Linked DNA regions of Daphnia pulex. The protein of the gene in region 3 purifies or fractionates together with the protein of the main gene of each other region. This does not show direct contact. Links are inferred from orthologs where the notes say so. Each region holds a gene or a part of one and is shown on either strand. Other genes may lie near its edges.

Region 1 (3,602 bases), on a different chromosome or scaffold from region 3:
GACGTTTCATTTCCACCAGGAACCTTAAGCAGCCAACTATTTCCGCCTCCTGGAGTTGACTCAACTGGTCTTTCGCCCAGCCTTAGTAGCATGGGCTTAGGTCCACCAACTTCATCTGGATTTGCTGTTAATATTGGGTCCAATACACTCGGAGGAAATACTCCAGCCCCCGGATCGCCTGGAAAATTGTTCTCTAGCATGTCTTTGCTAGAAACTGGTAATGAATTACACCATTCGAAATCGACTCATCCAATTCTTATAACTAATATTTATTTACTTGTTTTGCTTTTCAGGAGTCAATCAGCCAACGGTTGTGGGGATGCCAAACAATTCCAACTCGAGTCAGAACCAAAGTACTTTCTCCATTTTTTCTTCATTAACTGGAACTGGAGCAATGCCTGGATCATCCAGTACAAATCCACTGGGCATAGGTATTCCATCTTCTATGGCGAGTGGAAGCGGGAACGGTCAATCAAGTATGGGTACGAGCAATATTGGATCTGGTACGGCTGGTTCTCCTGGATCGATTGTCAATGGCCCTGTTCGAGTAGGAATGAATCCTCACCTAGGCCAAGAACGAAGAACCGGCGATGTATCTAGTGCTTTTGCTGACATGCCACAAGCTGTTTCAAAAGTAAGCTAATATTTTTTTTATTTTTATTTTCCCCACACCTAATGGACGCATTCGTGTTTGTGTAACAAAGGATATCGAAGACGAGACAAATAGTTATTTCCAGCGGATTTACAACCAATCGCCTTCAACGCCTACCTTGACAGTCGATGAAGTTCTTGAACTTTTGAAGAAGTTTCAACATTCGACTAACCGCCGTGAACGGGAGATATTTGACTGCATGTTGAGGAATCTATTCGAAGAGTATCGTTTCTTCCCTCAGTATCCAGATCGCGAGCTGCACATAACGGCTCAGTTGTTTGGTGGAATCATGGAGCATGGTCTCGTCACCTACATGGCTCTGGGAGTGGCACTACGTTACGTACTTGAAGCTGTCCGGAAACCACACGGGACGAAGATGTACTATTTTGGGATCACTGCCTTAGATCGGTTCAGACATAGATTGAAGGAATATCCGCAATATTGTCAACATTTGGCCAGCATTCCGCATTTTCGGGAGTTCCCGCCGCATCTAATCGAGTATATCGATAATGGCTCCCGTGGCGTCGAGCCACCCAATCGTCCTCATGGTCCAGTCTTACCTCAAGTGACGACAGCTGCCAAAACCACTACTCCGACTACGCCAACTACAACGGTTGCTGGTAAAACGACCTCTACTGCTGCACCTATGAGTGGTCGACCGTCAATAGCAAACGCGACCAACATCGACACATTGCTGGTTGCTTCGGAGAAAGACGTCTTAATTGTAGACCCACCAGAGAGCGTCCAAGACAAAGTCAGCTTCATATTTAATAATCTGAGTCAATTAAACCTGACGCAAAAGTGCGAAGAATTGCGTGACATTGTGGGTGAAGAACATTGGTCTTGGGTAGCCCAGTATCTGGTGATGAAAAGAGCTTCAATTGAACCAAATTTTCACACACTCTATTCAAACTTCCTTGACACACTGAAGCTATCCGAGCTCAGTCGACTTGTCATTGGTGAGACGTTCCGCAATATCAAGGTACTCCTTCGTAGTGACAAGGGAATAGCAAATTTCTCAGATCGCACACTGTTGAAAAATCTTGGTCATTGGCTTGGACTTTTGATGCTATCTAAAAACCGGCCGATTCTACAGGTAATTCATTATTTTATTTTTAAATTGTGTACCAATTTTGCTAAACTGCAACTTCATTTAATATTCAGGGAGATATTGATTTAAAATCAATTCTAGTCGAAGCGTATCACAAAGGGCAACAAGAACTTCTGTACGTCGTACCATTCGTGGCGAAAGTCTTAGAGTCATGTGCTAAGAGCAAAGTGTTCAAACCACCCAATCCATGGACCCTAGGAATCATGAATGTTTTGGCAGAACTACATCAGGAGCCTGACTTGAAACTTAATCTTAAATTTGAAGTCGAAGTTCTTTGCAAAACTCTAGCCATTGATATTCACGATCTTAAGCCGGGAGTAGTCTTCAAGGATCACAATCGTCTGTCACGTTTGGAACCGCAGTTGTCCCAGCCGCAATTACAGCAAATGTATCAACCAGCACCACAATTGCAAATCATTCAGCAGCAGCAGCAGCAACTTCAACAGCAGCAGCAGCAACAACAACAACAACAGCAGCAGCAGCAGCAACAACAACAACAACAGCAGCAACAACAACAACAACAGCAGCAGCAGCAGCCACCACCACCGCCACAACTTGCTGGCTCACCTGCACAACAAATGCAATCCCAGCCTGGCACAACTACTCCAACACCAGCCCACGCAATTCAAGGCCCTCCTGATCCGAGGTTTTCTTATTTGGACATCAATGTCACTTCGTTGGCCGGACTAGCTCAGCATCTAGTAGTTAATAATAACATACCGCTGTTGACGGCGCATCCGAATTTAAGGATCCTTATCCGACCAGCTGTTGAACGAGCTGTTCAAGAGTGTATTCATCCAGTTGTTGATTGGTCTATGAAAATAGCCTTGACCACTTGTGAGCAAATCATAAAGAAAGACTTTTCACTCGACGCGGATGACACCCGCATGCGCGCTGCTGCTCATCACATGGTTCGCAGTCTCAGTGCAGGTATGTCTCGTTTAAATTTGTTGATGTATATAGAATTTATATTAAAATTGTGTATATTTAGGCACGGCATTGATTCGCTGCCGAGATCATTTGCTATTGACGATTGCAAACAATCTCAAGACAGCATTTTCTGCTGCCTTGCAGAGGAGCACCAGCCCTCAACAGAAGGAGTTGGTTGAACAAGCAGCCACTTTGACCGCTCAAGATAACGTTGAACCAGCGTGTGCGTTTATCCAAAAGACAGCCGTAGAGAAATCCATTTCGGAAATCGATAAACGCCTTGCCACGGAGTTCGATTTACGCAAGCACGCTCGAAACGAAGGCAGGAGATACTACGACCCCGCTGTTTTCGCCTATCAGGTACACACGTCTCTTATTTTACGTCTGGCAAACTAAACGTTACAAAAATATATCTTTTATTATTCAGGCCGATCGAATGCCGGAACCCATTCGTTTGAAAATGAGTGGCGTTACACCCCAACAAGCTGCCGTATATGAGGAGTTTGCCCGATACATCCCTGGATTCTTACCTGTCACCGAACGAGATGCAGCCATGCTTGTGCCTAAGATGATCCCCACGTTTACCAACGATGAAATTGGGGTCATTTTGGAAAAAGTCGCCATGGAATTGGAGCGTTTCTTGCAATCACTGTTGCCATTGGGCAGCTCAACGCAAGCAGTTGCGATTGGCTCTCTATTGGAAGCTGTCATTTTGGCTCGTTCTTCACGTGAACACGGAGCACATATTACTTTACTTCAAAAAGCTTTCGAAGGACTGGTGGAGAGCTTAACCAGTTTCGCTACGACCGGAAATGATCCGGAAGCCGTCGTCCGTTTCCGCGACGCACATTTGCTGGTTTTGAAAGCCTTGCAAGATCCCCAGGCTTATGGTCAGTAAATCTAAATGAT
Region 2 (4,197 bases), on a different chromosome or scaffold from region 3:
CCCAGACTGGACGGACGCCCCTTCTGTCAAATCTGATCCATCGAATAGTTCAGGGTCTAAAAAACACTGAGTAAACGAATTATTAGTTTCGTGTTAAACTGTGCATTATGAATATTAAAAGTTTACTTGTAGTTGATCTGACCAAAATCGAAAACCTTTATAGGTATCGTTAGCACAGGACAGAGCAAGAACTGGCGGTAATGTTAGACAACGTCTTCTTTGCTGAGTTGCTTGATATTTTTGACAAACTTCACACCAGGCCGGAGTCACACTTGCTACGTCAAAACTCTTTTCAAGTACATGTTCGAAGCTGTGTTCATCTATTGATCGAGTGAGTAAAATATAGACAAAGTGCCTTGTAAATTAGGTATAATAAAAAATATATGTCACTAACCCTCCACATCTTGCAGAGTAAGGGAAGAGAGAAGCACAGGCGAAGTTTTAGAATTTTCGCTTCCACATTTTGTGCAGCGGCTAATCTGCTCTTGTTCAACACCAAACAGTTTAGAGATAGGAGACACTGGTGACAGACCATCCTCAGAAGGTGAAACATCTCTTTCCGGTTTAATAGAATTTTCCGTACCTTCTCCGTTAAATTCTACTAAATTACTTGTAATTGTGGTCGATTCTTTTGTTATCTTGCTTTGAGGCAAGGTTTCGCTGCTAAGTTGTTGAAGAATAAAACGAGCCCAGCTCTGTAACATTAAATTTACAAATATTTTGAATCAGTGTCACAAAGAGAAACTAATATATAACTGAAAATTACCTGAGCAAGCCTAGGAAGTGTACTTTTTATCTTTATTTCAGGATGATTTTCTGCCATCAACAGTCCCATTGCCGAAGCTTCGGGAAGAGTGCGGAAAGCCCGAAGAAAATTAGATGGTTGGACTGTAACTGGAGTACTAGTAGGATCTTGATTTCTACCAACATCCAGCATATGAAAAAGGAATGACAGCTCACAGGCAAGACAAAATTCTCGGTTGCAGGAATGCTCAAGAAGACAATGACGTAATTCCGGAATGAAATATAACACCTTCAATTAAGAAACGAACAGTCAAAATGCACAGATCAAAATGTAAGCAATCAGACTCATACCTGCAGCAAAGAGTTTGCATATGAATAAGGAAGTGTATTATCCAAACCGCAGAGGGGCGTGGAATTGTAACGAGCTAACTCATTTTCGTCAAGGCCACCCTTTGTGTACCTCATCTCGATATGACGATATCGTTTCCACACTTGATAGCATTCAGTATCTTCTGTAAGGGAAATTGGCTAAAAATGGTGAAAACATAAAAATTGTGAAAAATTAATTCAGACTAACCCTTTGAATGTGTTGAATCCGTTCCCGAATGTTTCTGACCACGTTGTGTTCGTTTTTCGGCTGAGTAGGCCACTTGATTAGGTCTATGATCAGCTGGACTTGGAGCATAACCAATAGTGCCTACCATGCGCATATTTGACAGAATAGCATGATCAATAGGTGGAACTTTACGGAATCTCCTGCGGGTAAACTGTTCCGGCCAATCTGATAGCAGCGGCGAATTGTGTTCTAAGGGGAAAGGGATTGAAGTGAGTGGCGTCGTAGTATCGTCCATGGCGATCGAAACCGGAAGGGATTCTACTGGATCGGCAAATTCCGTCGGTCGAGAAAAGCTGTTAAATAAAGCTGATGCGTTTGATGCAAAGGTGTGAACATATCCACCGGCATCCCCCACAGCTAAGCATTGGCAAGAAGATGAAACTTCAAGAGCCATGCACATAGCACCCTCGTTATTCACTTGGAAAAGTTGAAGAGCTGAAGATGCAGGAGCAGCTGCATCAAGAACCTGTAACTGTCCCATGGCAGAGATAACCGCCAATTGGGACGAGAATGCTGGTAAGAACCGCAATAGAAATGGTTCTCCGACCACAGGAACTGGACTGAGAGCTCGTAACATTCTAACATCGTAAATTTTCAAAAAGCGATCCGAAACCACACCTCCCTGCCTATTTAATAAGTACAACTGGATAATTTAACTTACTTCTGTTATATAATATAGAAAAATTACCTGGATGAAAACCCACAAGTCACAATCAAGTTGTTATGAACATCAAAATCTGAAAGGCTTTCAGTATGTGCTACAAATTTATGCTCTTCACGTAAAGTTCGAGGATCTCTTAATGATACGCATCCACTAGCGTCACCTAGTTATTTAAGGAAGGATGAATTTTTATTTGTGTATTTCATAAGAATTTTTGTACCTGAGCAGATAAATCTAGGGTGTCGTCTCAGAATTGCACATCCCTTTTCTCCTACATCAAACTAATAAACCAATAGAAATATATTTATCATAAATGTTATGGAGGTTATGGTTTTTAACTTCACTTTACTTTTGTTGTTTCCTTCGCTGTCACAAGGTCAAATTCTACTACCAGCGGTTGGTGTCCTCCAAGTAGAACTGTTGTGGGCCCTGTTTGTAACAAGCATTGTAGATCTTCACAAGTACTTGAGCTAGAAGAAGTTTATATTAAATTGTTATTTTTATGATATATTGTGGATGATTTTCTTACGTAAACAATTTAGAAAATTTACACTCAATTATGCAAACCTGTAAGTGAATAATGGGACACCTCTCCTTTGTTGGCATCTAAGAGTGTTTGGGGTTACTATAAGTAAACCAGCATCAAAAGAAATCATCTGTCTGACTTCTTGAGATGCATGAACTTGGAATGATGTGTATTTGTGTAGAGAAGAGCCATAATAACTAGTGACATGTCCTCCTTGATTACCAACCCAAAGCAGCTCTTCCTGAAGGTCCCAATGAATTGCGGACACACCAAATCTATCTCCACCATCAATTAAAATCGAAGATTTCTCTGAAAAAACGCCAACATTGAAATCCATCTTTCAACTTCAAGACATTTCGTTTCGTTTTGCTGTAAAGTGCCACCTAGGGGCTGCGTTTGTTAACTTACTTAGATAGTCAACATAGTCAACACTAGTTGACGACGAATTCATTACGAAAAGAAAAAAAGCTCATCACTCTTTAGTCTTTTCCTGCCATCAATAATTCGTCTGATCGATGCCGGTGTAACACGTGCTTTTTATTTCTTCATTTCAATTATTTTATCATTTTAAACTATTTCAAGTGGATGATTGAAAACTAGTTTTAACGATGGTGAAGGAGCAATACCGTGAGACTGACGTTATTAGAAAAATGTAAGTTTTTTTAACACTCAAAATTCTAATTCACATTAGTATAGGTATAGAAGATTAAATACGATTATGTACTTTTAGAGCAAGAGTAAGCTTTGGAATTGAAAGTCCGCAACAAATACAACAGCAATCTCACATTCAAGTGGTAGCTCAGAATTTGTATAACCGAGATGCTGGACGAACACCTATGCAGTATGGAATGTTGGACAGAAGAATGGTAATTTACTCTTTAAATATTTAAAGAGATCCACACTTAACTGCTATTTTTTCATAGGGGATGAGTGTTAAAGATGCAATATGTGGTACTTGCGGAAAAGGGCTGACAGAATGTGTAGGCCATTTTGGTTACATTGATTTGGAACTTCCAGTTTTCCATGTTGGATACTTCAAGGCTGTAATTACTATCTTGCAAACAATTTGCAAATCTTGCTCTCATGTAATGCTTAATGAAAAGATGAGAAAAATTTACAGAGCCAAACTAAAGGGTTCAAAAATACCTTATCTAAATAAGAAAGCACTGAGGAAGCAAATTCAAGAAGTATGCAAAAAAGTAACACGCTGCCCAAACTGCAATGACATCAATGGCATGGTGAAAAAGTGTGGCATGCTGAAGATATCCCATGAAAAATTTAGAAGTATCAAGAAAGACAACGTTATTTTAAAAAATGAGTTAGTGGCTTATGAGAATGCTGTGCAGTTCAACAAGGAGATTGAACCAATGTTGTCATCTGGCTTGGTTAAAATGTTAAATCCACTTGAAGTACTTCATCTGTTTGAGAGAATTCCAGACGAAGATATCCAATTTTTGGTGATGAATCCTGAACATGGGCATCCAAAGGACATGATTCTCACCCGTGTTCCAGTTCCTCCTGTTTGCATTCGACCTTCTGTAGTGTCCGATTTGAAATCGGGGACAAACGAGGATGATTTGACAATGAAACTAACAGAAATTGTCTTCCTGAATGATGTCATTGTTAAACACCGTCTCTCGGGTGCAAAAA
Region 3 (4,102 bases):
CCCGGAATCCCCTAATTTGTTGCGCTCCAGCCAAGGACGCGATGAATGTTGGACGGGATTTTACAAGCAAAAAAAGTCAATTTAATTGAGTCATTGGTTGCAGCAGATTGCCATTTGCTTATCGCCAAAACCAACAGGGAAAGTTTTCAATCAGCGCGGGCGTTTTCCATGTTAAAACGCATAAAACTTTGAAACAAATGAAGCGAAACGCAATTAATTATGAACGTGAAACAATCAAAGTGGCTTAAAAAGGAGGGAGGGACCCGTGTCTTTTCTGGTGCTGAGCTAAACACGGAAAGCTGAATCACCGTGAAATCGTTTCATTTGAATTAGTTAAAAGAAGAAGAAGAAAGAGTATCAATTTTCTAATTTTGTCTCTTTATTCACGATCGTCGTGACACGGACGTGCCATCTAGTCAACGTGATCTCAACTAATCACATTATTGGAGAAGGTGAACGCGGGAGGCGATGTGGCGCGCCAGTCTCACTGGAATTCTCCCCCTCTCCGTTATCTATGTCTAGGACAAAACAAATTCTATTTATTGTCTCAATAACGTTATCGAATAATTTTAATAGCGGATTTGTAGTTGTTTTTCTTTCAAAATCCTGCGATGAATTCATTCGAGTGTCGACAACTAAATTTCGGTTAAAAACTTGAGAGGACTAGTACAAAACATTATGTAAAGCGGTGGGATTGGACGTAAGAGAGAAAGGAAGAGCCTTATCTTCCATCTGGAACTCGCCTTTTACAACTGGGAACTATCCACCACCACCGAGTGCAGTATACATGTTTTTGCGGTTAACCTAGTTATGCTGCTGCTGCTACTCGCCCCCGTGTATACATGTTTTGTTTGTAAAAGCTTTAGTGCGACAGCTTTTCGAGCTGCTGAAAAAAGCCAGTAACCTATTTGCTATTTAAGACACGAGAACAAATACCAACAACAAAAACAAGCAAACGAAAAAGAGACAGTCTGAGGAAATGTAGTTTATTTTTATATAATCTTTTAGCAAACGTTTTCTTTTTTTTTTTAATTTTTAACAGTGGAACACGCGCCGAAAAACCGATAAGGAAGTCGACCCTGTCGGGAGTCATTAGAAGAGAGGGGGGATTGGAAAAGTGGGCGGAGTCATGGAAAACACAACTCACTGAGAATCGATTGTTTAGTTCGATTGAGTCGATCACGAAGCCCAGCACCAACAGGAGAGAGAGGCTCGTCGGCTGTAAGACACCACCGAAAGGGCATTGGAAGGAGATTTACTCTGAAAAAGTAAAAAAGAGAAGACTCTTCTTACTTGCTGCTGGTGTGGTGTGTGTGTTGTACTGTACAAGTCATTCAGTCAAATTCCAGGCTGCGACGAAGTGAGCACAACAGAGGCCATTTCACTCTGGGTTTTTATTTTTCCTCTTTTCTCCTCTCTATAAAACTGGATTTGAATTACACAGCTCTAATTTAAAGTGAGTGCGCAAAGCCGTGTTGCTGGTGTGTGTGTGTCTAAAACCGAGTGTGCAATCCAATCTCGAATCGAGCCCAACAATCGATCGTCGAGAAGCGTCGAGTTCGTGTCACGAGCGTGGAAAAATGAACAAGAGCCTTTTCCAGCAGCAGGTAAGGAGAAACAAAACAAAAAAGGGCAAAAACAACCCTTGAGCTATGTGTACCCCAAATTCTCCCAGAGACGCCATTTTTCTGTTGATACCTTTCTCAATTATTCCGCGCATACGTTTATATTTTTGTCGTCCATTTTCCATCGAAAAATCTTATTTTTCTCTTTCTGGCCATTGTGTGTGTGTTGTTTCCAACAACTTTGGCCATATTTATATAACTACGCCATGTCGTCGCTTACAGGATGCAGCTCGAGAGCTTTGTGTTGAATTCCGTAGTGTGCCCAGGCCATTTTATCGTTTTTCTTTCTTTCTCTCTTTCGTATTTTTCACCTTTTGAAGCGAATGGAAGTGCGAAGGGAGAATTGTGATGATTGAACATGTAAAGAGAGACGAAAAATTGAGGCTACATGACTTTCTCTCTTGCATTGCATGACTCGCTCCTCCTTCTCTTCTCTTCTTTTTCCTACGCCAGTATTTATACACACACATCGACAATATAAACTTACGGTAGAACGCTTTTGGCACGGCAGGACGAGCTGGAAAGGAAAGGCATTAAATGACATGGGGGCGGGACATTTCGACTTTCAACCAATCAGCACCGGGGACCCGAACGCTCACGGGATATATAGACGTAGATCCGTTGGGTCTACACAGCCCAAACTGAACTTGTGACATTGTCTCGATTGCTGCAAAATAAAGCCAAACAAAGCATTTGAAACCCAGCAGCTCAAGCCTGTCTTATATGATTGTTTTTAAAAATGGGACAAAAAAGTTGTACGACTTTTATTGGGATTCTCGTCTTTTGTTCTGTCAATCGATTGTACACCAATAATCGGGTTTTGTATACACATCGTGATTGGCAAAAGAGGTGGTTGTTTTATTGGGTTGGCTTTGACGTTGCACAAACTAGCCAGCCGTCTATAGTAGTAGCAGGAAGCGCAGCAGAGACTACGGGGGGCTCTATTGAGTTTTGTTGATGTTGGCGGACTTGTAGGTTAGTCAGCCTGGCTGGCTGGCTGGATAGTGGAAATGGCGTTGTGTCCGACTGGTCATCGATTTTGTTTGCTGGCAGCTCCCCCTTCACGCTGCTGTGTTCAACCCAACTCCCGATGAGACTGCGAAAAAGGAAAGACTGACAACAATAAAAAGGAAAAGAGAGAAGATTGCCCGCTGGAATGGCCGTTGCCATCACTTTCCGGAGTCTTTCCAACCCTGGCGCTGATCCAGATTGAATAAATCAGCTGGTTCCTTTACTAGCTGGGCTGGTTCGGGATGCCATTACCTCGGCTCATCTCGCTCTCTCTTCTTCAAAGGGATGAAAATCAAACCCCCCTTCTTTATCTTTCTTACCGCCCATCAAGTTATAATGGGCCTTTTGATATCGATCTGTTTTTTAGTCGACACAAAAGAGAGACGACACACAAACCTTAAAGAAAAAGGGGATTTTCAGGGTTTGGGGTTGGAAAGCCAACCAGAAACTTGGGTGGGAGGGAGAGACACAATTTTGGCAAGTCTCGAAGCAGAAAAACTTGGCGATGATGAGATACCGAAAATCTAAGGTTTCACTTGGACTATTTAATGGTTCACGTGCACGGTTTCCCATGTATACGCGGATGTATACAGTACCACACACGCGGAGGCCGTGCGGCTAGAAAATTGGAAGAGAGGGGTAGGGCACAGTCCTTTTTAGACTTGTCCGACTATATTTTCACGCGGATCAATAACTCGACGCGTCCGCTCCGGCTTCTCCTTGTAGCGTGCGCTCTCTGTGTGTGTGTGTTTACATTCGATCCCGTTGTATGGCCCTCGTGACGCTTCCTTCTTATTTTTCCATTTTTTAAAAAATTATTATTTGTTTGTTCCTTTTGAAATCACGAGGTTTCTAAAGGAACTCATTTCTAATGCGTCTTACGTTACGAACAAGTGTGGAAAAGATTTCCGGGAGATGTCTAAAGTTACCATCTTTCACGAACCAAATCTAGAAATAAAAAAGACGATTTTACACGGGAAAAAAATAACTAGCGCGTCATTCAGCGTCAAAAATACGAAAATGATTATTGAGAAACAGAATTAAATATTTACGACTTTGCACTTTCTTATTTCCTTTCCAAATAAATAAATAAAAATCTGAAAAAATAAAAACTGGTCAATTGAAATAAAAGGCGAAAGAAAGACAATCTGGCAATGGCGCATGGACGAGACGCTGTTGGCCCCCTTCCTCCTCTCTTTCTCTCACTCGTCGGCTGTGTGTGTAGACTGACTTGTGTTTTGTGTGCGCGCTCGTCGTATCTCAGTGGATGTTGAAACAGCCGCGGTCCCGCTCCAACGAAGACCCGTTTTTTTTTCCTAACAACAACACATATATTATTTCTTACAAAGCAAAGAATCATCCATTTCCAAGTACCTAAGTCATTCTGGTGTGTCGTGTTCCTCCATAGTTTTTTTTTTGGCACCGATCGTTTTCCCTCCCCTCCATCTATATCCTCCATTTTCCCT

Evidence for each region.
Region 1: the proteins of protein Gawky-like (region 3) and CCR4-NOT transcription complex subunit 1-like purify together in Homo sapiens (co-immunoprecipitation; 4 studies listed by BioGRID and IntAct, with this or other methods). This does not show direct contact. The link is inferred for Daphnia pulex from reciprocal best matches to the Homo sapiens genes TNRC6C and CNOT1.
Region 2: the proteins of protein Gawky-like (region 3) and PAN2-PAN3 deadenylation complex catalytic subunit PAN2-like purify together in Homo sapiens (affinity purification with western blotting; 3 studies listed by BioGRID and IntAct, with this or other methods). This does not show direct contact. The link is inferred for Daphnia pulex from reciprocal best matches to the Homo sapiens genes TNRC6C and PAN2.

What each region holds. Positions count from the first base shown.
Region 1 is NC_060019.1:12,280,362-12,283,963, forward strand, and holds part of CCR4-NOT transcription complex subunit 1-like, read left to right. Parts: coding exon 1-217; intron 218-293; coding exon 294-634; intron 635-704; coding exon 705-1,748; intron 1,749-1,816; coding exon 1,817-2,693; intron 2,694-2,754; coding exon 2,755-3,053; intron 3,054-3,120; coding exon 3,121-3,583; intron 3,584-3,602.
Region 2 is NC_060021.1:6,585,371-6,589,567, forward strand, and holds the start of PAN2-PAN3 deadenylation complex catalytic subunit PAN2-like, read right to left. Parts: upstream 2,932-4,197; 5' UTR 2,885-2,931; coding exon 2,589-2,884; intron 2,492-2,588; coding exon 2,371-2,491; intron 2,303-2,370; coding exon 2,242-2,302; intron 2,185-2,241; coding exon 2,049-2,184; intron 1,987-2,048; coding exon 1,322-1,986; intron 1,257-1,321; coding exon 1,096-1,256; intron 1,034-1,095; coding exon 767-1,033; intron 696-766; coding exon 395-695; intron 321-394; coding exon 127-320; intron 67-126; coding exon 1-66. Other genes in the region: DNA-directed RNA polymerase III subunit RPC1-like, read left to right, coding at 3,156-3,199, 3,278-3,413, 3,471-4,197. UniProt on the Homo sapiens protein: Catalytic subunit of the poly(A)-nuclease (PAN) deadenylation complex, one of two cytoplasmic mRNA deadenylases involved in general and miRNA-mediated mRNA turnover.
Region 3 is NC_060018.1:6,003,494-6,007,595, forward strand, and holds the start of protein Gawky-like, read left to right. Parts: upstream 1-1,212; 5' UTR 1,213-1,607; intron 1,608-3,772; exon of another isoform or gene 3,773-4,102. UniProt on the Homo sapiens protein: Plays a role in RNA-mediated gene silencing by micro-RNAs (miRNAs). Required for miRNA-dependent translational repression of complementary mRNAs by argonaute family proteins.